3 linked regions of the Sus scrofa genome follow. The main gene of each other region encodes a partner of the protein of the gene in region 2 in a complex. Links are inferred from orthologs where the notes say so. Each region holds a gene or a part of one and is shown on either strand. Other genes may lie near its edges.

What was found.
Region 1: EFTUD2 (region 2) and SCNM1 share a complex: the UniProt entries of both Homo sapiens proteins name them as parts of the minor spliceosome. The link is inferred for Sus scrofa from reciprocal best matches to the Homo sapiens genes EFTUD2 and SCNM1.
Region 3: EFTUD2 (region 2) and CRIPT share a complex: the UniProt entries of both Homo sapiens proteins name them as parts of the minor spliceosome. The link is inferred for Sus scrofa from reciprocal best matches to the Homo sapiens genes EFTUD2 and CRIPT.

Annotation. Positions count from the first base shown.
Region 1 is NC_010446.5:98,078,281-98,086,023, forward strand, and holds SCNM1 (sodium channel modifier 1), read right to left. Parts: upstream 4,095-7,743; 5' UTR 3,976-4,094; coding exon 3,925-3,975; intron 3,658-3,924; coding exon 3,587-3,657; intron 3,347-3,586; coding exon 3,258-3,346; intron 3,161-3,257; coding exon 3,063-3,160; intron 2,955-3,062; coding exon 2,866-2,954; intron 2,202-2,865; coding exon 2,007-2,201; intron 1,759-2,006; coding exon 1,659-1,758; 3' UTR 1,564-1,658; downstream 1-1,563. Other genes in the region: TMOD4 (tropomodulin-4), read left to right, coding at 15-158, 417-561, 943-965; LYSMD1 (lysM and putative peptidoglycan-binding domain-containing protein 1), read left to right, coding at 4,867-5,046. UniProt on the Homo sapiens protein: As a component of the minor spliceosome, involved in the splicing of U12-type introns in pre-mRNAs. Plays a role in the regulation of primary cilia length and Hedgehog signaling.
Region 2 is NC_010454.4:18,470,697-18,478,410, reverse strand, and holds the start of EFTUD2 (116 kDa U5 small nuclear ribonucleoprotein component), read right to left. Parts: upstream 4,045-7,714; 5' UTR 3,763-4,044; intron 560-3,762; 5' UTR 556-559; coding exon 451-555; intron 1-450. Other genes in the region: CCDC103 (coiled-coil domain-containing protein 103), read left to right, coding at 4,171-4,197, 6,297-6,448, 6,830-6,962. UniProt on the Homo sapiens protein: Required for pre-mRNA splicing as component of the spliceosome, including pre-catalytic, catalytic and post-catalytic spliceosomal complexes. Component of the U5 snRNP and the U4/U6-U5 tri-snRNP complex, a building block of the spliceosome.
Region 3 is NC_010445.4:93,921,823-93,929,581, reverse strand, and holds the start of CRIPT (cysteine-rich PDZ-binding protein), read left to right. Parts: upstream 1-3,665; 5' UTR 3,666-3,799; coding exon 3,800-3,815; intron 3,816-5,739; coding exon 5,740-5,805; intron 5,806-6,778; coding exon 6,779-6,833; intron 6,834-7,759. Other genes in the region: PIGF (phosphatidylinositol-glycan biosynthesis class F protein), read right to left, coding at 1,197-1,424. UniProt on the Homo sapiens protein: As a component of the minor spliceosome, involved in the splicing of U12-type introns in pre-mRNAs. Involved in the cytoskeletal anchoring of DLG4 in excitatory synapses.

The DNA.
Region 1 (7,743 bases), on a different chromosome or scaffold from region 2:
TCCCCACTCCCCAGGCGGTGGCTGACATGTTGCGAGAGAATCGTAGCCTCCAGAGTCTGAACATTGAATCCAACTTCATCAGCAGCACAGGGCTCATGGCTGTGCTGAAGGCAGTTCGGGAGAATGCCACACTCACTGAGCTCCGCGTAGACAACCAGGTCAGCATGCCCTTGCCCTGGTCTTTGCAGTCAGCCACTACTCACTGAGCCTCCTCCCTAAGGAGCCACCGGGGTAGGACCTCATCTAATCTTGTTTGAATTCTCCTCTTCTTTGTCCCTATGTGGGGAGCCAAGGCAGTTCCTCTCATCCCCCACTCTTGAGAAACAAGCTTCTTAGACCTCCCAAAGGGTCAGGAGGCTGGGACTATGAACAGCCCAGAGAGGGTGGCTGACAGCTTCCACCTCTCCCTCCCCCAGCGCCAGTGGCCTGGAGATGCAGTGGAGATGGAAATGGCCACTGTGCTCGAACAGTGTCCCTCCATTGTCCGCTTTGGCTACCACTTTACACAGCAGGGGCCACGAGCTCGGGCGGCCCAGGCCATGACACGGAACAATGAATTACGTGAGTAACTGCAGACATGGTGTCGGGCTGCGGGGAGGCCAGGTAGGTGCGGAAGCTGGTAGATCCTCCTGAAAGCTGGCTTAGTGACTAAGAACCTGAACTTCTTCACACCGAGAAGTGATTAGAAAGTATACAGAAAAGCCCCTCTGCCCTAATATACACCAGCAGAGAGGTGGAAGGGAAACGAGACATACCTGTTAGGAGGCGTGGTATTTTGTGTGCCCTGTCGTTTCTTATTTTGTTAATGCAAGGTGGGCATGCTTGTTGGCCTAAGACATGACCTCTTTATGAGTCTGGCCAAGGAACTGGAAAGGAGAAGAGCACCTCTGCAGGAAGCAAGAGATGGAATAATGACTTGCATTGACTCTTCTTCCTTTATAGGTCGCCAGCAAAAGAAGAGATAACAGTACCCTCCCTTTATCAACTGGAGCCCGGAGCCCTGAATGCTTAAATTAAATCCTCATCTATCCCCCTTTCCTGTAAATAAAGGCCCTCTGTCCACTCTGCCTGCCTCCTTCCTTGGGCTTTGGGGTGGAAATCTTGGCGCTAACCCCTCAGGGTTACTGCCAGTTCATCAGGGGATTATTTATACTCTAGGGATCAGCAGGCAGGGAGGGTCAAGTTACCAGGAGGAGGTGGGGGGAGCTCTCTCCCTTGGTGTCCCCCATAACCTGGCCAATGCCTTCAGTCCCTTCTGCTCTCACAGGGTGGCTAAGCCCTGGCCCTGTTTCCAGACCTGTCCAGCTCCCACCCCCACCCCACCCAGTGCCTACCCAAAAACTTCATGTCATTTGAAGGAGGAAAAGACTCTGAGTGGAGGTGGGGAAGAAGTCAGACAACATGAAGGGCAAAGACCTCCTTCTGACAGACTTATTTTAGGGCACCGGGCTGCATGCAGCTGACGCTTGGCATGACTTTGGTAGAAGTGGGGGGAGGGGCTAGAAGTATGGGGAGCTGTGTACATTGCAGGGAAATATTGGCCAGGCTGAGAACGAACAGACCTGAAATCCTGAAATGAGACAAGGAACCAGACTCAAGGAAAGTCAGGCTCCCAGCGCCCACTATAGTTTATTTGTGAACTGAATGGGGAAAGAGTGTCAGTCCAAGGGGAGATCAGGGGGTTCCTCTTCATCAGAATCAAACTCAACATTCTCATCTTTTATCCATCGACCTTGTCCATCTGGGATCCATCCAGAACTGGAAATATCAGAACAAACAGAATCGATCAGGAAAGGAAATGTGTTAAGAATTTAGTAGCGGAGTTCCCTGGTAGCTCGGTAGTTTATAGATCTGCATTGTCACTGCTGTGGCACACTTCTGCATGCTGTGGGCATGGCCTCCCGCCCCCCCCAAAAGCTAGTAGGGATAAGTAATATTTGAGGTTTGAAAAAAGGAGAGCCAGAGAGAAAAGGGACAATCTGAGGAAAGTGATTCCGTACACTCACCTTCGAAGGGTGAGATAATGATCCAGAGCCCGTCTTCTTGTGGGGCTCATAGGTGCAGGGGATGAGACAGTGGCTGATTCCTTGGTTTGTGATGCAGCCGCAGGCTCAAGTTCCCTACTGATCCTCTCACTTTGGGATTCAACCTCTGGGGGTGAAAAAGCGGAACGAGAGACAGAGGGACGAGGGGCTTCTGGTCTGGGTAGAGAAGAATCAAAGTCTGTAAAAGCAGTAAAGGAAAGGACCAAATCTCCTGTAACTCCCAACCCCTTAAAGCAGTGCTTCCTAAACTGTATTCCTCAAGATATTAACAGGTGTTCTGCATAAAAAGGATTTTGGAATCAAATGAACTTAAGGAAAGCCTAAGTTAGTTTTTTCAGCTTTTTTTTTTTTAAGACTGTGTAGAACCCTGAAAATATACTGTTACTATTCTTTTTTTTGGTCTTTTTAGCGCTGCACTGTGGCATATGGAGGCTCCCAGGCTAGGGGTGAATGCAAGCTACAGCTGCCAGCCCTTACCACAGCCACAGTAACATGGGATCCGAGCTGTGTCTGCAACCTACACCACAGCTCACAGCAACACTGGATCCTTAACCCACCAAGCAAGGCCAGGGATCAAACCCTCATCTTCATGGATGCTGGTCGGGTTTGTTCACCGCTGAGCCATGATGGGAACTCGTAATATTACTATGCGTCAAACAGGATTACAAAATCCTATTTCCCAAACAAAATTCTTTTTTCCTGAAATTCAAGTTAGCATTTCCAGAACACTAGTATTCCTCAGAATCCAATTTGGAAAACAGTACTTTAGAGCGATCGATCTCCTGTTCCTCCCTACTTCTGGATTACCCACCCCACAGACCTGTTCTTTCGGCGGCAGCAACTGTTATAGTGAGGAGCTCTGTGCAGAGCACTCTGGGTAATAAGTCGAGTCTGGGTTAACAGAGGAGCCTGGCATGGAGATGGGAGACAAAGTCAGAACCTTCAGAGCTAGAAAGAATCCAGAGCCTTCAAGCCTAAGGTGTGCAGCCTGGAACACACCCTCCCCTCTCTGATTACCTCTGCTTTGGTCTCTTCTCTCCTCAATTCATTCTGTTGTCTTGGATTTGGCTCCAGGCCCTTTCCTGGGTGCTTCTTGCCATAGAAAAGCTGCAGGCCTCAGGAGAAAGGGAAAGAGAATTAAAAGGAGGGCACCCAGAGTGAATAAACCCTTTAAGGGTTTATTCTCTATGCTCTGTCTTCCCACAAACTTACTGGACAGATGTTTCTTGCCTGCACGGTGGGCAGTCAACATGGCCAGGGTGTCCAGTACCGGTCGGTGAGGACAGATGGCACAAGCAAAGCTAGAGAGGAGGAGAGAAGATAATTGGTTCCTGGGGAGTGGAGTCTCTGCCATAGGTTCCACCACAGCCTAGAACTCCTTTCCAAAGCCCAAATCCCAAGTCTCCCAGTCTCCACCACCAACATCCCTGTTACTCACTCCCCGCCAAAGATTCCTTGTTCTTTCCAATCTGCTTAATAACAAAAGTTTGTTGAGCCTCTAACCGCAGAACCCCCAGGCTTGATCCACTCCTAGTCCTCACCGTCCATCCCGTAGCATCAACGCCTCATCCTCTGGGATGTAACTCGCCAGCAGGTCCCCGACTCTCCGTTTCTGCAGGGAACAAGGGAAGAAATGAGGACGGGGTCAGCTGGATATGAGGGAGGAACAAAAAGGAAATGACAAGGACGAGGACTCAAAGGGAATAAAGGCCACAAGAAGGGTAGAGATCTGGGCTGAAGAAGGGGTGTCGGCCCAGTTCCAATCGTCTGGCTTCCTCCGCCCCCCTCCCCCGAGTTGTTGCCACAGCAACAAAACAGCTCCCTCACAGCCTTCAGACGGCAACTGAAGCTGCTCCAGATGCTCTCCTCTCGCGCTTACTTTGAGCACATTGAGTTGACTCCAATCGTCCCCTTCCCTCTTGAAAGACATCACGACTGTGAGAGCCCCAGAAATATAAGTTTTATCGCGCCGCGTTCGCCACTCCTTTCAGGCCACCGTAGCAAGAGTGGGACGTCTCCTTTCTTTCCTGTCTCTTTCCGGTTGGCCCCCTTACTTCCGGGATGCGCTTCCACGCATGCGCCGCGCGATCCCGAAAACCCGCCTCTAGCCCATAGAGGGGACTGCATTTCCTATGGTGCTCTGCGACCCCGCCGGCGCGGAGCCTTTTGGGAAATGAAGTCTTTTTTCAAAGAGCTTGCCGCCCTGCCCGATTCAGGCCCTTGCATCTTGGCAGATTAGAGGCGTTTGGAGAAAGAGGAACCTAGCTGTGGATCCCGAGTTTGAGAGTGTGACTGATTTGATGCGGAGCGTACCTTTGAGGATCTCTCAGGGGAAAGTGTGCTACAGATTCTCGCGGTCATCACGCCCTTCGCCTGAGGCCACAGCCCACCTGGAGTGGGCCTGATTAGTTCCCGACCCTAGCGACCAAGCCCGGGACGCGCGGAATCGGGGTTGGGGGCTGGGAGGTCTGGCGGACCGACCTGGGGGCAAACTCTGTAGTGTAGAGGAGGGTGTCTAGTGGTCAAAGGTCAGAGGTCAATGTCGCGAGTTGTGGGGGATCGAAAGTCGGAGGGGTACTAAGGAGAAACTCAGGTAGGGACTGAACAGTCAGGTTACAGGTTTGTGGGAAAAGGCCTTGGAAGGCGGGGAAGCCAGGAGTCAGAGGTCGCCTAGTGGGGGGAAGGCGGAGAGACTTAGGAGAGAACACAGAAAGGGAAAGGAATCCTCCAGATTTTCATTCCCAGACCCCGGGCCTGTCACTATCGGTCACTTGGCCGGGCCTCCCGCAGTTGCAACTCCAGTTGTCCGCAGGGTGAGGAGATGGCCTCTCCCTCTAGACAGGCCCCCCTCGGGGGGTCAGGACTGCTTCAAGGGAGCCGGGCTCGTTCTTATGGAAGCCTTGTGCAGTCTGCCTGCTCCCCGGTGAGGGAAAGACGCCTGGAGCATCAGTTGGCGCCCGGAGACACCCTGGCTGGACTAGCACTCAAATACGGGGTGACGGTGAGTCTTCCAGGATTGGGACGCAGACACTCAGAAAAGATTTATTCCTCATGAGGATATAGTGGCCCTCTGGGCAACTTCACCTGAAATTTTCCTAATTGTGTCTAAATTAGTTAATTGTGATAAATTAATTGACAAGGGTCCCATCTCGTGTTGCACTGTCTGGTTGAGACAAATCCTGTCTCAATATCCCGGTGGAGGTGAGCAGCTCTTATTTATTATACCAGTCACTATACTAAAGACTTTACATCCATTAGCGCATCTGATCGTCACATCCCTATCAAGCATACAATTATTATACCCTTTTTATAGGTGAAGAAACTGAGACTTAGATTGGTTAACCAATTTGACCAAGGTCAAATAACTAGTAAGTGCTGGAGTGAATATTCAAACAAATCTATCTTACTCCAAAGCCCATACCCTTTTGTTTTATTTTGTTTTGGCCAGGGATTGGCCAGGAAGTTCCTGGGCTAGGTATTGAACCCTCACCACAACAGAGACACAGCAGTGATGCCACCAGACCCTCAACCCACTGAGCCACCAGGGAACTCCAAAGCCCCTACAATTAACCACATAGAAATGTTTTAAATGAGAATGTTGAAACATTTATGGGAAATAATGAAGAGCTGGTTTTTAGTTCTAAGTTCCTTAAGTGCCTGTCTCTTGTTCTTTTTTCCTCTTCAGTGCTCTGCCTCCTTTTCAGAAAGGTAGCCTTGTTGGTACAAAATAGGTACTCCCAGAGTTCCTGTCGTGGCTCAGTGGTTAACGAATCCAACTAGGAACTATGAGTTTGCGGGTTCCATCCCTGGCCTTGCTCAGTGGGTTAAGGATCTGGCTTGTCGTGAGCTGTGGTGTAGGTCGCAGATGCGGCTCAGATCCTGCATTGCTGTGGCTCTGGCGTAGGCCGGTGGCTACAGCTCCGATTAGACCCCTAGCCTGGGAACCTCCGTATGCCGCAGGTGCGGCCCTAGAAACACAAAAGACCAAAAAAAAAAACAAACAAACAAACAAAAAAACCCCCACAAAATAGGTACTCCCTATGCCAAGTATTTCAGGTCATGGACAGGGTATATTTAGTAGGTGTAAAAATACATTGCTTTAAAGTTGATAAGGTAGGAGTTCCCTGTTGATCTAATGGTTAGGACTTGGTGCTTTCACCACCAAAGATGATGAAATTTATGGCTAAGTTCAATCCTTGGTCTGGGAACTGAGATGGTACATCAAGTTGCTGCACACCTTGGCCAAAAAAAAAAGTTGATGAGGGTTTTTCTTCCATATTTCTGTAGCCACACAGTTTTTGTGCTTGGTATGTTCAAACCACTGTGGTAACCATCTTGGGAGATGGAACCATAAATAAAATGTAGAGTTGCTGCCCTCATGTAGTTTACAGTCTAGTGAGAAATGGACAGGGACACAAATAATGATTGTAGGTGACAGAATATGGTGAGTTTGTAGAGGGGTTAACAAAGAGTGGGAAATCAGGAAAGATTAATTTTTTTTTTTTTTTTTTTTTGTCTTTTTAGGGCCATACCCCACGGCATGTGGAGGTTCCCAGGCTAGGGGTCTAATCAGAGCTGTGGCTCCCGGCCTTCACCATAGCCACAGCAATGCCAGATCTGAGCCTCATGGTTCCTAGTCGGATTTGTTTCCACTGCACCTCGATGGGAACTCCCAGGAAAGATTAATTTTTATCTCAAAGGGGACAGTGCAGATTTTAAGGGAGTCATCACAATGGGCCTTGAAAGACAGGCATTCCCTTCTCTTGCTCCTCTCTATAAACCTATGTAATCCAGTGGTTTACACCTTTTACGTTTTTGTCTTTCCAATAGCTTGTATACTTTTTTTAAGGGCCAGAATGATTTCTTTTCAATTTTATTTCTTTTTTTTTTTTTTTAATCTTTTTTTGCTATTTCTTTGGGCTGCTCCCGCGGCATATGGAGGTTCCCAGGCTAGGGGTCTAATCAGAGCTGTAGCCACCGGCCTACGCCAGAGCCACAGCAACGCAGGATCCGAGCCGCGTCTGCAACCTACACCACAGCTCACGGCAACGCCAGATCGTTAACCCACTGAGCAAGGGCAGGGACCGAACCCGCAACCTCATGGTTCCTAGTCGGATTCGTTAACCATTGCGCCACGACGGGAACTCCCTCAATTTTATTTCAATAGAGATTGGCATAGTCCCATAGTCCCCAGCTTAATAGCTTTTTTTTTTTTTTTTTTTTTTTTTTTGCTTTTTAGGGCCGCACCCACGGCATATGGAAGTTCCTGTGCTAGGGGTCAAATTGGAGCTACAGGAGTTCCCGTCGTGGCGCAGTGGTTAACGAATCCGACTAGGAACCATGAGGTTGCGGGTTCGGTCCCTGCCCTTGCTCAGTGGGTTGACGATCCAGCGTTGCCGTGAGCTGTGGTGTAGGTTGCAGACGTGGCTCGGATCCCGAGTTGCTGTGGCTCTGGCATAGGCCGGTGGCTACAGCTCCGATTCAACCCCTAGCCTGGGAACCTCCATATGCCGCGGGAGCGGCCCAAGAAATAGCAACAACAACGACAAAAGACAAAAAAAAAAAAAAAAAAAAAAAAAAATGGAGCTACAGCTGCTGGCCACAGCCATAGTCACAGCAACGCAGGATCCGAGCTGCATCTGCGACCTACACCACAGTTCACGGCAGCAACGCCAGGTCCCTGACACACTGAACGAGG
Region 2 (7,714 bases):
TAAGAAGAGTCATAGAAATCTATGCCTCCCTTTTCTATTGCTTCCATGTATCTTTCAAAACCCCAGTTCATGAGGGAGTTTCCACGGCAGTGGCATTTGAAAAAGTTGACTACCTTAGATAAGTTGGAATTATTCATGACTGCCAAAAGGCACTTCAAACAAATGGACAAAGGACAACTACCAGATGAACTAGAGCTCAAGAGTATAAAATCACCCTACCAATGAGATTACCTTATGTTCTCCTTTGGAACTTCAGTAGCCAAGCTTTCTTGGGGGCGGTGTAAGACCCGAGTAAGTCATAATAACGATAAAAAGGGCAACATTAGAGCTATACACAGGGTATTCTGTGAGCACAGAGGATTCATTACTTTATTGCTTTTTTTTTTTTTTTTTTTTTTACTTTATTGCTTTTTTGAAAAAGAGAGAACTGAAAAAAGTTATTTGTTTTACCTCATCAAGGTCTTTGGTCTCTCTGCCCAATTCATCATCATCTTCATCAGAATCAAGCTCTGGTCCAATATAATTCCCAAACTCATCATATAAGTCAGTATCCATGATGCTAAAATTCAAAAAGAGAAGTTAGATGCTGGCAAGGTGATCAAGGCCTCCACCCGAGCCGACGGTTGACCACATCCCGTCACACAAATCTGCTCTGCAGTGACATCAACCAGACTCCTCTTCCCAAGTCCTGCACATTCACCTCCTCTCTGTACTCACTGGCCCTTTTTACACACTTTTCTCCCAATTCTTTTTTTCAATACTAAAAAAAATTTAAATAAATAATTTAAAAATGATACCAGAAAGTCACAAAAAGAGCACAAGTTTCTTTTTCCTAAATTATTTGAGAATAAGTTGCTGACACAATGTCTCATCACTGCCCAAAACTTCAGGGCAGGAGCTGACAAACTACAACCTGCAGCCAAATCTGGCCTGCCAACTGTTTCTATACAGCCCCAAAGGTAAGATGTTTTTCATATTTCTAAGTGATTGGAAAAAAAATTCCAAAGAGCAATATTTCATGATACACAAAAATTAGTTATATGAAATTCCCATCTTGGGTCTATAAAAACAGCTTCACTGGAACACAGCCATGCTCATTCTTTTATATTGCCTGTGGCTGCTCTCACACTCTAACAGCAGAGTTGAGTAGCTGTCACTGAGACCATATGGCCCACAAAGCCTAAAACATTTACTAGCTGGTCCTTAACAGCAAAAGTTTGCCTAACCCTTGCTTTAGTGTGTGTGATTCCTACAAACAAGGACATTCTCCTACATAACCACGATATAACCACCAATATCAGAAAATTTATATTGACACATTACTGCCACCTAATCCTCAGGCCCCCATTCAAGCTTCACAAACTGTTCCAACAGAGTCCTGGACAGCAAAGGATCCAATCCAGATTCCATGTTTGTGTTTAGCTGACGTGTCTTTAGCGTCTGTCTTTTTTTCTTTTTTTGGCCTTGCCTGTGGTATGCAGAAGTTCCCAGGCCAGGGATTGAACCCACACCACAGCAGTGACAAATGCCAGATCCTTAACCCACTGCACCACCAGGGAACTCCTTTAGTGTCTTTCAGTCTGGAACAGTTCCTCACTCTTTCCTTGATTTCTGTGATTGGACACTTTTGAAGATTATAGGCTAGTGAGTTTGTAGAACGTCCCATAATTTGGCTTTGTCTGATGTTTCAGCATGATTAGATTTAGGTTATGCATTGTGGGCAGGAACATCATAGAAATGAAGCTGTGTTAAGAGCATTTCCTATCAGGTGGCACATGATTTTGATTTGTCCCATTGATGGTAATGCTAACTTAATCCCTTGATTGCAGTGGTGTCTACTAGGCCTTTCCACTGTAAAATTACTTGTTTTCTCTTTGTAATTACTAAGTATTGTGGGGTTGTCTCTACTTCAATTATTGAGATTCTATTCAAAGTTCAAATGCCACCTCTTTCAAGCCTTCCTACAGCCTCAATTTCTTATTCTCCTATACTGCTTATTTCTTCTTTTGTGTCCTTCTCAGCCTTTAATTCTGTCCTGAATGGTAGTTAACTTACCAATTACTCTAACAACTCAACAGCTTACAAGTAATAAACAATAGACCAAAGCATGGATTAATGGGCAGGGCTCCGGAGGTGGAAGACTCCAGATGTGAATCCAAACTGTCACTTAATAACTATGTCACTTCAGGTAAGTTAGTCACCTCTCCAAGCTTGAGTCCTCATTTGGAAAAACGAACCGATTAATCCTCATTGCACTAGGGGTTATGAGAGTTAAATAAAATAGTCTGTGTAAAGAATTTGTCACATTTGACTAGGCACAATAAATGTCAGCTGGCATTGTTTTTTGGCCATTTTTTTTTTAATTTTAATTTTTTTGTCTTTTGTCCTTTTAGGCCTGCACCCACAGCATATGGAGGTTCCTAGGTTAGGGGTCTAATCAGAGCTGTAGCCATCGGCCTACACCACAGTCACAGTAATGCAGGACCCGAGCCACATCTGCAACCTACACCACAGCTCACAGTAACACTGGATCCTTAACCCACTGGGTGAGGCCAGGGATCGAACCCGCAACCTCATGGTTCCTGTTCGGATTTGTTTCCACTTCACCATGACGGGAACTCCTGGCCATTCTTGAATATAGGAATTCCGTGTTCTTTGTGCTCACTACCAATCCCCAAAACAGCACCTCACATAAGTAGGAACTGGATAAAGGTTAACTGAATGAAATGTTTAATTTTAAGATATTGATATTTCTTGCATGAGGTTAATCCCTCCACCTCCCTCCGTGCCCCCTACTGAGAGCTGACTGTGGATAAAATGAAGAATTAAGAACTCCAAGCACTAGTAATTAAACGAAATTATTACAGAAAGTTTCATATGCATAAAGGTTCTTTTTAGCTCCAAAGAGCTATCACATCCTTGCTCATTTCATTCTCCCAAAACACCTATGAAATGACCTTATTTCTGCTTCAGGACCACTGCACTTACTATTCTCTTTTGAAATGTCCTTCCCTTGGACATGCATAGCTGTTCCTTCATCTCACTGTCTCTACTAAAATGTCACCTCTGAGAACCCTTCCCTTGTCACTGTAAAAAAAAAAAAAAAAAAAAAAAAGCTCCCCATACACACACTCTGCAATCCTCGCTTTCACTGTTTTATTGTTTTTATTAACGTTTACCATTAGCTGACACATATCTGTTCATGTATTTACTGTCTTCTCTCCAAATACAGCTTAAGCAAAAACTTTGGATTTGTTTTTTGTTTTTTTCACTTAGAGAGGTGTCCAGCACAAAACAGAACCTCAGTAAGTATTTGTTGAAAGACTAAATAAATGGCTCCAACAAGCAAAGAAAAGATAGTTGGCTTGCTCACAGTTGCACAAAACTAGTGAGCTTCGGTACTAAACTTCACTGCAGCTTCCCGCTACAGTCCAAGTTTCTCAAAGGAATACAGAGCAAGGGCCAAGGGAGCTTGGTAGAGAAGGGGTGAAGAGGGCACAGATGGAAGAGGGAGTGAGACAGGGGAATGAACAGTTAGAGAACGACCAGAGAAGGAGTTTTATAAATAGATGACACTGAGGGAAAACCGGAATCCGTGTGTGTTGCGGGGAGTTCATTCCCTTTCCCGCTCCACGCCTCAATTCACCCATTTGTAAAGTAAAAGTGGCAAAACCGCATGTAACGTTTCTTCCAGATACGACATTATTGAATTTCCCATCCCATCGCAGCGACCTCGCCACGCTTTGACCAGGGCCAACTCACCTCCCGTTGCTGGGCCAAAAACACCAAGTCTGCCGCCTGAGGCCTTGCTTCCGCCCCACGCCGCCGCACCACCTGCGCCCGCCGTCCGGAAGGACCCCGCAGACGCAGTGGTCGCGTTTCTGCCACGGAGGACAGCCCTCTGCCTGAGAACCAGCTTGGAGGAATGCCGGCCGCGGATACAGGAACTTGCAGGGCAGAGTTGTGGGTCCCCAAACCGAGGCGTAGACTGCTCCAAAGAAAGCGAGGCCTGAGGGAAGAGTGAATCTGATCAGGCGCCCCGGGGCTACCCTGACGTGGGGCCTTCGAGCCGGTCACGTGGGCGGGCCTGTTGAAGCAGTTGCTGGGCAACCACAGCTGCTGGGCGTGGTCTACGTCGAGCCGTTTTGGTTTGGGATTCCTAAAGAAAGAATGGAAACCAAGGCCGGGGCTGCTGGGGTGAAGTTCAGGGGGCGGGAGGGTTAGGTATTGTACTTACTCAGTGAGTGGGGAGGGCTCAGGATTGAACAGGAACCGGATCACCTGAGTTCAGTTCCTGGCCAGCCCAGCCTCCTCCTTGGTGTTCCGCTTACTGTGTTGGGGTGGAGGGGGAGGGCTCCGGGCTTGTTGATCTGCTTTCCTGCCCTAGGGCTGTTGATGATGACTTCACCACCTAATCTAGCTCAAAGCACTAAATTCTTTGGAGTTTGAGGTTCAAAGGAGTCTCACAGCAAGTAAATGCCAGAGTCAAGATTAGAACCCATATAGGTGATCTTACGGAACGGGTTAATCAGCCTCAGATACGCGGAGGCTGCAGAAATACAGTGGCAGAACTAAAGAGGTTACCCAAGTACCCAGGGACCTGTGCTCTAGCCCTGGTCTGGACAGAGGGATTTGGGAATGGGGATCATTGAGTCCCCTCTTCTACCACATCTAATTGATTTCCTGTTCAGCCATTGCATCTGGTTTGGGTTGAAAGTATGTTTCTTGTTAAAGACATTTAACAACGGGTACAATTTTATCCCTGGACCTAAGAGTCATTTATAAGGGAGTTCCCATCTAGCTCAGCGGAAACGAATCTGACTACCGTTCATGAGGACACGGGTTCGATCCCTGGCCTCGCTCGGTGGGTTAAAGGATCTCGCTTTCCTGTGAGCTGTGAGCTGTGTGTAGGTCGCAGACGTGGCTCGGATCTGGCATTGCTGTGGCTGTGGCATAGGCTGGTGGCTACAACTCCTATTCGACCCTTAGCCTGAGAACCTCCATATGATGTGGGTGCAGCCCTAAAAAGACAAAAAAAAAAAAAAAAAAAAAAAAGAAAGAAAAGAAAAAGAAAAATCGAATTCAAATAAAGATGGTTCAAATGAAGGGGGAAAAATATGTATAAAAGGAATCAGTTATAATAGTTCTGCTTTGGCGTGAGAGGCTCTTATCACAACTCACTATGGAATGACCCATGTGGAAGCAGGAAGGGGCTGAATTCTGAATAAATAAATGCCTCCTCAGCCAAATATTTTTAGAGACAGAATAAAAACAAATGAAAAATTAGAAAAAAGAATGAAAAATTGCCATTTGCAACAACACTTAGAGGGCATTATGCTAAGGGATTATAGGATACCACAGGGAATTATAAGTCGGACAAAAATATCGTATGATTTCACTTATATGTGAAGTCTAAAAAAACAAACAAACAAACAAACAAAACAAACATTTATAGACACAGAGAACAAACTGGTGGTTGCCGCAGGGGAGGGGAGTAATGGGATAGGCGAAATAGATGAAGGCAGTTAAGAGGCACAAACTTCCAGGAGTAAAATAAGACATAGGAACGTAATAACACAGAATAGGGAATATAGTCAATAATATTGTTGGGAGTTCCCTGGAGGCCTAGTGGTTAAGGATCTGGCATTGTCACTGCTGTGGCTCGAATTGCTGCAGTGGTGTGAGTTCAATGCCTGGCCTGGGAACTTCTGCACCCCCCCCCAAAAAAAGTAATTAAGTTATTACAATTCTGGGGGGAGTGAGCCCAAAGCATACGGAAGTTCCTGGGCCAGAGATCAGATCTGCACCACAGCAGCAACTCAATCCACAGCAGTGAAAATGCTGGATCCTTAACCTGCTGAGTCAGCAGGGAACTCCCTGTAATAACTTTGAATGATGACAGGTGGTAATTAGACTTATCATGGTGATCATTTCACAATGTATATATCAAATCACTATGTTGTACACCTGAAACTCGTATAACATTGTGTGTCAATTATACTTCAATTAAAAAATACTTTTAGAGGCAGAGAACAAAATTAAGGCAGGGCACTAAATTGAAATTCAAGACACTGTTCTCAGTGACAAGTCTTAAGCGAAAACTCACTATGTAATGCCCCTCTGTAAAAGAGAGAACTAGATTTTTAGACTTTTGTCACACTCTCCAAGGTAAGTAACACAATATCCAAAGTGTTTTGGAGTCATTTTGTGGGCTGGCAAAGAATCCAGATGCACACCCCCTACCCCCACCCCTGATATTGACCTTCAGCTGACACTCATTCCCTTTGCCTTCGCAGGCACAGGCCATGGAAAGGAATGACATTATTGACTTTAAGGCTCTGGAGAAAGAGCTGCAGGCTGCCCTCACCGCTGATGAGAAGTACAAACGAGAGAACGCTGCCAAGTTACGGGCAGTGGAACAGAGGGTGGCTTCCTATGAGGAGTTCAGGTTGGCTTAATGCCCTTTTTCTCAGGCGCCCCTGTAATGATTTACAATAGTAGGTAAGAGCATGTGCTTTGGAGTCAGACAATTCTGGGCTCCGTCCTGGCCCTGCTCTCTACTACCTGTGTGATCTTGTGGAAGTTATTTTACTAATCTGAGCCTCTACTCCTCATCTGTAAAAGAGAGTAACCATTGCTATGATTAAATATTATTGCATAGAAGATTCTGAGCACAATGTCTGGCATCTGGGAAGTGCTCAAAGGTTGTCAGCTATTGTTGCTGTTGTTGGCTTGCCAGCAGGTACAGCCTATATTATGGAAAATCCAGCCATCTCACACCTATAGGCAGCATTGGGTCTTTCCCCTAATCTCCGTCCTTTGCCCACAGGGGTATTGTCCTTGCATCACATCTAAAGCCACTGGAGCGGAAGGACAAGATAGGAGGGAAGAGGACTGTGCCCTGGAATTGTCACGCTGTTCAGGGAAGGCCCTCCCAGGATGACACCACTGAAATCTCTCCGGTAGGTGGGTCCCAGCATTATCCTCTGTCCTAAATCTCCAATCCTGTCTTCTTTTTCTCTTTTTTTGGCAGCACCCATGGCATATGGAAGTTCCCTGGCCAGGCATAGAATCCAAGCTGCAGCTTCTACCTATGCCACAGCTGCAGCAACACCGGATCCTTTAACCCACTGTGCCACAGCGGGAACTCGAATCCTATCTTCTTACAACACATACATTTTTCTCATTTATCTCATTAAGCCAACAGAGGCAGTTTTCTGCCTTCAATCCCAGAAAGAAAAGTAACTAGTGAGTGGCGAGGCTGAAAGAGGGCAGAACAAGTCAGAAAGGTGGGTTTGGCCGGCCCTTTCAATCAGCCTAGTGGCTTGCACTCCCAGCTCAGATTTGGGTTGCTCTGCCTTGGGTTACATGCTATAGAGTATATGATCCTCTGGCAGTGCTGGGAGGAAGATCCAGCCTGTCAGATTCTGACACCCATCTTGAGTTCCTTTCTCTCCTCCTGAGGTTTCCAATTACCTCCCCCTCTACCCCCCTCTCAGAGTAAACTGACTTAGTGTCCTAGAGCCGGGCTATATCCACATTCATCAATAGGAAATCCTGGTACAACTGAGAATCTCCAATCATAACCTGGGTTCCTTGGGAGCCTCCCTCCCCTTCCCATCCCCAGTTCCCTCATCTGAAAATGAGACCCACAGGGCCCATAGCCTTGGCAGTGCTCAGAGAGCGGTACCAGAGCTCAGATGAAAACCCGCAG
Region 3 (7,759 bases), on a different chromosome or scaffold from region 2:
TACATGAAATATTTACAGAAAATAATGACTACAATCTTTAAAAAAAAAATTTCCTGGGAAGGTCTAGGGACTCAGCACTTTTCACTGCTACAGCCTGGTTCGAACCCTGGCCTGGAAACTGAGATCCCACATCAACCCGCTGCACACCACGGCCAAAAAAAAATTAAAAATAAAACAAAATTCCTAGGAAAAGCGAACCGAAAAAAAAAAAAAAAAAAAGCGCAACATAAAATAATTCCTCAAATCACATTCATATATTACCATATAATCCATAGGAAAAAAGACCTGCACATCTGCAAATCAGTGTGTGGGACTGACCTGATTTGAAGCTCAAGAAGATCTAATTATAAAGCACACACTGAGCTTTTTAAATCATAGGGCAGTAAAAATATTTTAAGTTACCTAACAGAGAAGTTCCTGCCATGGCTCAGAGGAAACAAATCTGACTAGTAACCATGAGGATGCAGGTTCGATCCCTGGCCTCACTCAGTGGGTTAAGGATCTGGTGTTGCCGCAAGCTGCGACACAGGCCAAAGACATTACTCAGATCCTGCATTGCTGTGGCTGTGGTGTAGGCCAGTGGCTATAGCTCTGATTCGACCCCTAGCCTGTGAGCCTTCAAATGCTGCGGGTGCAGCCCTAGAAACACACACAAAAAAAATTACCTGAGAGTATATAAATAGTATTGAATAATGCTGTGAGGTCTTTATTAATTTAAATAATAGTCAAGTGTTAACACTGTAGTGAATATTCCAGAAAATAGATTCCAATATCTGAAAATTTTTATTACTATTTAGTCAAGGAAGGCCATGTTTGAAACAAGAGCTTCCAAAGAGGCTTACTTTGTAATTTCTGAAAAATCCACTCTGTCTTTCAGAAATGCAAAAAATGAACGAAAATAAACTGAAATGTCTTACAAGGTTTAAATAAATACATGTATTTATATTCAATAGTGACATAAAACATGACTATATAGGTTCACGATGCAATGATATCTATTTACTGCATGGCAAGAATCTATCAAACATTGTGGGCAGTCTTCCAGCAAGCAATAGGCTACTGATTTTTTGGGAAAAAAAAATCAGTTTCTTTATTCACTGTAAATAACCCACTAAGTACTTAAATAATACTTTATTCTTCCAGTAAAAGAAATATAACCTACATCTAAATATCAGTTATCAAGAAATAAGCCTTACCTTGTATGATAATGAACTTCTTTTAGATGATGTATTTGATTTCACTACTAAATATAATATTAAATTGACAGCAGTTACGAAAACAGAACAGATGCACAACCATGTCAAGTGCGTTTCCAATATTGAGAAGTTCTCCAAGAAGAATGATGGAATGAAGATGCTTAGGATAATTGAAAATATGCATAAAAGATGGGCATACAGCAGTCTCTTGATGTCAGTATCTTTCATGGTGTTTCCTTGAGTGGCTATCTAATGAAAAACAAATTAAGAAAAGAGCATAGGCAATAATGACTTTTACCATTGCCCTAAATGTTCCAATGTCTAAAAATAAGCCATGAACCAAAGTCAATTTTCTGTGGGCAATAATGTCTTGTGTTAGAATATAGGAAGATGCACATGTGTAAACGCACGTAGAGTAAAATGGTACAAACAGCTCTCAGAACCTAAAAAAGGACAAATTTACTAATTTCTTAAGTATTTGTGTCTAGTTTCTGCAAAAAAAAAAAAAACGGTCATGTGCTAGGACTAATTAAGGAATTTTTTTTTTTTTTTTTTGGCTTTGTCTTTTGTCTTTTTAGGGCTGCACCCACAGCATATGGAGGTTCCCAGGCTAAGGGTCTAATGGGAGCCATAGCTGCCAGCCTATGCCAGAGCCACAACAATGCCAGATCTGAGCCGTGTGTGCAACCTACACCACAGCTCATGGCAACGCCAGATGCTTAACCCACCGAGTGAGGCCAGGGATCAAACCTGTGTCCTCATGGTTCCTAGTCAGATTCGTTTTCGATGCGCCAAGACGGGAACTCCGGAATTCTTTTCTTTTTTTTTTTTAATTCCTTTTTTTTTGCCAAAATCAGAGGTGAAAACAAACTGCCTGGGTTAATGATTGGATCCTTTGGAAATACAAGATACGTGTTCTAGAAACCCCATAGTATACTTTGGCTGAATTGTTGGCATTCTTTTTTAATCACTGTGTTCCATTGTCTATCAACACAGTTGTTCACATTTTCTAGCAAATACCAAGAAACAGCAGGTGCACACTGAAATACACAAATGGTGGTCAATGTCATCAAGAGCGTTCAAAAAACATCATGCTAAACTAAGGGATCTCAGCGCCCCAAAATACCAAAATGGCAATGTCAGACGCTAGATTCCAATGAAAAGAAGAGCTTCATGAAAAGGGAAAAAAAATTTTACTTTCTCTCTCTCCCATCTCTATATATCTATTTTATGTATGCATGTATTTACAAATTATCTAACAGAGAGCTTATATGTAGTATTGACTAATGTTAAGTAAGGAGTCCACGTGTCACACTGTGGTGACTAGTCCAGAATAAAACCCCATATATATACACACACATATATGTGTACGTGTGCGTATATATAAAAGGGTAAAAGGGCAAATCCAGGCCTTATCCTAACACTCTCATTTATTCACACTATATTTTTCAAAAGAAAATACATTACTGATAAGGAAAAAGACTAGCAGAGATTAGTAAACATTGCAAGCTACCAAGGTCCCAAGTGCTAAAGCCATTTCAAACCCTAGCTAACCTTTTTGATGATATAGATATATACTAGGAGGTATGAATGGCAAGAAAGGAGAAAGGAAATCTTTCTCACCGGTCCTATCTTCTTCTGGGCCACCCTCAAAATCCCAATTGACAGGAGCAGATTTGTACATAAGACAGTGAGCAATACACAAACTTAATGCTGCGTGAATGAGTGAATGAACGAAGAGTAGGTGCAGAGTTGCCCTTCCTGAGAAACCAGCCTTATATTAGGCCTTGGAGAGCTCAGGAGGACTTCCGCCAGGTGCCCCCTGGGGCAGCTATTGCCCAGGTGCCCGTGGTCTGACCTGGCCCAGATCCTCAAGCCTTGCAGCGGAAGAGAGGGCCATTCTGAAAGGCTCCTGGAGGCGCCTTCGCGGGAATCGTGGGACCGTAATCTCCAGCCCCATCCCAAACTGGGTCGCTGCGGACTCTGCCCAAGCCCCAGCCGACTGTGGGCAGAAAGGGACAAGCTGAGAAGCATAATCAAAGAGCACAGGCGTAAAGACCAAGAGAAACGGCGGGACAAACACAGAAAGTCGGAACTGAAAAAGAGCCAGTTCATCGGGGCAGCCCCTGGGTCACGCCGGAAGGGCGGCGCTCGAGGGGCCCGCGGGCAAGGGCCTATTGGTAGCAGAGATTTCCGATCAGTTGGGCAATTGGCGGGGGTGGCTTGCAGCCGCTGGAGGCTCGTGCGCCGGGAGCGTCCGGCTGGGCTTACCTAACTCTCCCGCTCGCGGAAGAGAACGGGAGGGCTACTACCTCCCACCATCAGGTGCAACTCGCCGCCCTGAGTCTCGCGCAGGCGCAGGCCAGCAGGGCGGAGACCGAAGGCCTCACAACCAATCGCAGAAGTGGAGAGGTGGGCCAAGAAGGAAGCCCCGCCTTCCCGCTCTCCTTTATTCCTCCCGCGGCTTTCCAGGTGTAGAATAGGCGGGGCGGAGGATCCGGAAGTGGACTTTCATAACCCGGAAGGGGAGTGTTTTCTCAGCTGTGGTGTTGATGGTTTCCAGCTCCCGATCCTACTGCGACTGAGGGAATCGTCGCGAAAGGATGGTGTGCGAAAAATGTGAGTTAAGGAAACTCTTCTGCGGGAGAAGAAGGCTGGGACAACCTAACTGGAGTTCCCCGGGACTTTATTCCTTTGTTTTTACTTTGGCCACAAGTCTCTGATTCTAGCCTCTGTTCTGTCCTGCCCTTTGACCATTCCTGCCTCTCCATCGACCGTATAGTCCTCCGTTTGTTGCATTCAGGGTGGTCTCCTTGTCTGTTTTGCACCTCCTTGTCTGTTTCCATTGTTTTCGTTCAACCCCTGAGCTTCTTGACTGGCTCCCTCATTTCAGAGCTTCAGGTTGAAATGGATCTTAAAAGTCGCTTCCACAGCAACTGGAGTTGCTAGGTTTAGCAAATAAAAGTACTGGACGCCCAGTTAAATTTGAATTTCAGGTAAACCAAGAATAATTTTTAGTGTGCGTCCTATGCAATATTTGAGATTTGGCTCTGTTTGCTGCTCCTTACTGCTGTAAAGCAAGGCACTTACTTTTAGGACATTGTCTACTGAAAAAGTATTCATTGTTTATTTGAAATTTAAATCTAACTTTTGGCGCAGGGTTCCATACCTGGCCCAGGAACTTCCACATGCTGTGAGTGCTTAAATGGTCCTTGAACGAATACCCAGAGTATTGAGGAATGGTGGCCGGTGTGTAGGAGAATCTCACCACCTTGGAAGCAGTCCGTGTTGATTTTACTGGCTTTTAGAAAGGTCTTTCCTTCTTCTAGTTGCCGTCCAGTAATTCTAATACCACCCTCTGAGATTTGATATTTTTGCTCCCACAAACTGGTTGTGTATTTAAAAAGAGCAGTCTTATTCCCGTTTTCCTGAGTCTAAACATGTCCTCTTAATTTGATTATCGTCAGTTTGATTATCATCTAATTAACTTGATCCATTTCGTTTACCCCCCCCCCACAGTATATAAAGCCTTATAGCTTTGAACACAGAATTTGAATCACAGTTTTCAGATTAGGTGAAAGAATGACCATGACAGTTACTTTAATACATTCTCAAGGTGCAGAGAATAATTTGGGATTTCTGTATCTGGAGACTGGCATTCAGGATGACCCTCTACAATGAGGCCACATCTTACCTTTTTAACTTTATTTTCACTAACCCTTACCATCTTTACAGTTCAGCCAAGCCAAACTATTTTGCCTGACTGCATGTACCTCGAGTTCTCCACGCCTTTTATCAGGATGTGTCCTTTATCCAGTTTACCTTCATCCTCCTTTCTCCTTTTTCTTCATGGTCTCATTACCACAAACCCTCTCTACTGCCTTCTTCACAAAGCTTTCCTGGATTTCCCTAGTCAAGGTTATTTCTTCCTCCATGGAATGTATCTTAGTACTTCAGCTCTTAACATACTGTTTACTTTCAGTTGAATAATGCTAAACTTTTGTTGTTGTTCTCGGAGCCCTTTGAGAATGTGACAAAAGCTGTGGACTTAACAGAGTCTATTAAAAAAAAAATGGATATACAGAGGTTTGTGTTCAGTTTCATCTTGTTCATGTATTTCCTAAGGTCCACATGTGAAAACTCAGGTTAAGAACTGTTGTTAGAGATAAATCAGTATGATGTAAACTCCTTGAAATCTAGAGCCTTATCTAATTCATTTTATTTTTCTCTGTACTTTGTACAATGGTTTATATATCACTGATATTTAGTAAATGAACAGATTTATCAGATTTGTTTAAAGCATTAATGTACAGAAACAAGCCTATTATAGGCCATACTATTATCCACAGATTTGACTGAGAGTCAGTTATCCATGGCCCACAATTAGTATCATAAGTCTCAGTTCACTGGCCCCAAGCCTCAGCAATAACAGATTTGTATGTAATATGAATATTAATACCATTGTAAACTTAAGGCACAATGTAGTGTATTTATTAGATAGTAATGCTAACCCCCCCCCACTTTTGTTATCTTGTTATAACAGGTGAAAAGAAACTTGGTACTGTTATCACTCCAGATACATGGAAAGATGGTGCAAGGAATACCACAGGTATTTTTCCTTTTAGAACATAGAAATTAAATCAGATACTTCCTGTGAATAATGTTTTAGCTTTTACATTATTTGTAAAATGTTGTTAAGCATACAGCATATTTCATCTATTAAATATTAAAGAATACTGGACATTCCCCCCCACAACAATTTAATAACTTCATCTCCTTAGTTTTCTTAGTGACATGTCAGGGTTCCTAATTTGGTAGTCAGGAAATAGAGATAATTGAATGATTTTTAAGCAATGAGTATATCATAGTAACTGATTTGGTTCAGCCTAACTAGAGTTATTATTATTATTTTTTGTTTGTTTGTTTTTTGTCTTTTTGCCTTTTCTTGGGCTGCTCCAAGGCATGTGGAGGTTCCCAGTCTAGGGTCTAATCGCAGCTGTCGCTGTTGGCCTGTGCCAGAGCCACAGCAATATGGGATTCAAGCCGCATCTGCAAACCTACACCACAGCTCACAGCAACACCGGATCCTTGACCCACTGAGCGAGGCCAGGGATCGAACCCACAACCTCATGGTTCCTAGTCGGATTCGTTAACCACTGCGCCATGATGGGAACTCCTAGAGTTATTATTTAAATCCCCCTTTCCTCACCTGGTTTTTATATTCTTGAACAAATCATTTAAATGTTTTCACCTTCACAATCATTAATTACAGTGAAGATGTTTCTAAAGGGAAGAAAAAGAAACATTATCACTGTATTTAAGGTCAGTGGCACCAAAGTAGTGGCATCTAGATTTTGCATTAGATAGATTAAATATAGACCTGTTCCTAAAGTCCTGCTTTGAGTCTAAGAAATAAAATAATTGCCTTTTATCCAAATTTTTATTGTTTTATTGTTTTCCTAATAATAATTTTCTCCTTTTTAAGTAGCATTTTTAAAAGCCTTGTTAAGTGTTACTTGTTAAGTGCTATATGTGAAATGTGTAGAAATAACCCACTAAAATACATGTATATTTCAATGCAGAAAGTGGAGGAAGAAAGCTGAATGAAAATAAAGCTTTGACTTCAAAAAAAGCGAGGTGGGTATAAGAGCATCTATAGAGCAATCATATAAATTTCCACTCTTTTTAGTATCAAGTGTATTAGAATGAATTTGTTTTGTATCATTGTGTTATGATAAAACATGCAGTTAGGTAGTTGCTAGCATGCATAATCTATTATAACCTGCCAGTTTCATCCTGTTCTTCACTGTTTTAACTGTTATGTGAAGAAATTAGTGCTACTTCCTTTTTATTATTTCACCAGAAAGCATGACTTATTTTTTTTAGTTCCAAATTTTCCTGCAAACCAGAGGCAACAAAAAATGTGGACAGATCATAAGCTCTGGAGTCAGACCTAAATTTGAATCTTGACTTTGTTATTGTCTAGCTCTGTAACCTTAAGCAAGTTAAACCAGTTCCTTAACTTTTCTGAACATTACTTTTTCATCTAGGAATGGAGATAAAAATGTCTCCCACCATAAAAACAATTTTCGATGCCATACTTTATTATATCCAGTCTTAAAAATTCCATGAACCCTTCCAGGTGCCATCCCATTCCCTTGCTTCCTTTTACAACAGAAGTTTTCAAAAGCCTTATTTAGATAGTACTTTCTCATTGTCTTTAAATTCTATTTGCTCCTTCAACCACTCAAGTCAGGCCTGCATCTCCACCACACTCCTAAGCCTACTCTTGTCAAGATCACACATAACCTTTAAAACTGATGGCTACTTCTCTGTTCTTACCTTACTTGGCCTTTTTGCAACTCTATAGTCTCTTGGCATTGAGATACCACATTCTCCTTTCCTCTTAACTCACTGGCTGTTCCTTCTTAGTCAAGTGCCTCTGGACTCAATCCTAGACTTTTTTTTATTTGTAAATTTATAATTTCTCCTTAAATGACTTTAGTGCAGTGGCTTTAAATTCAAATTCTATGTTAATGACTTTCAAATGTGTATCTTCAGTC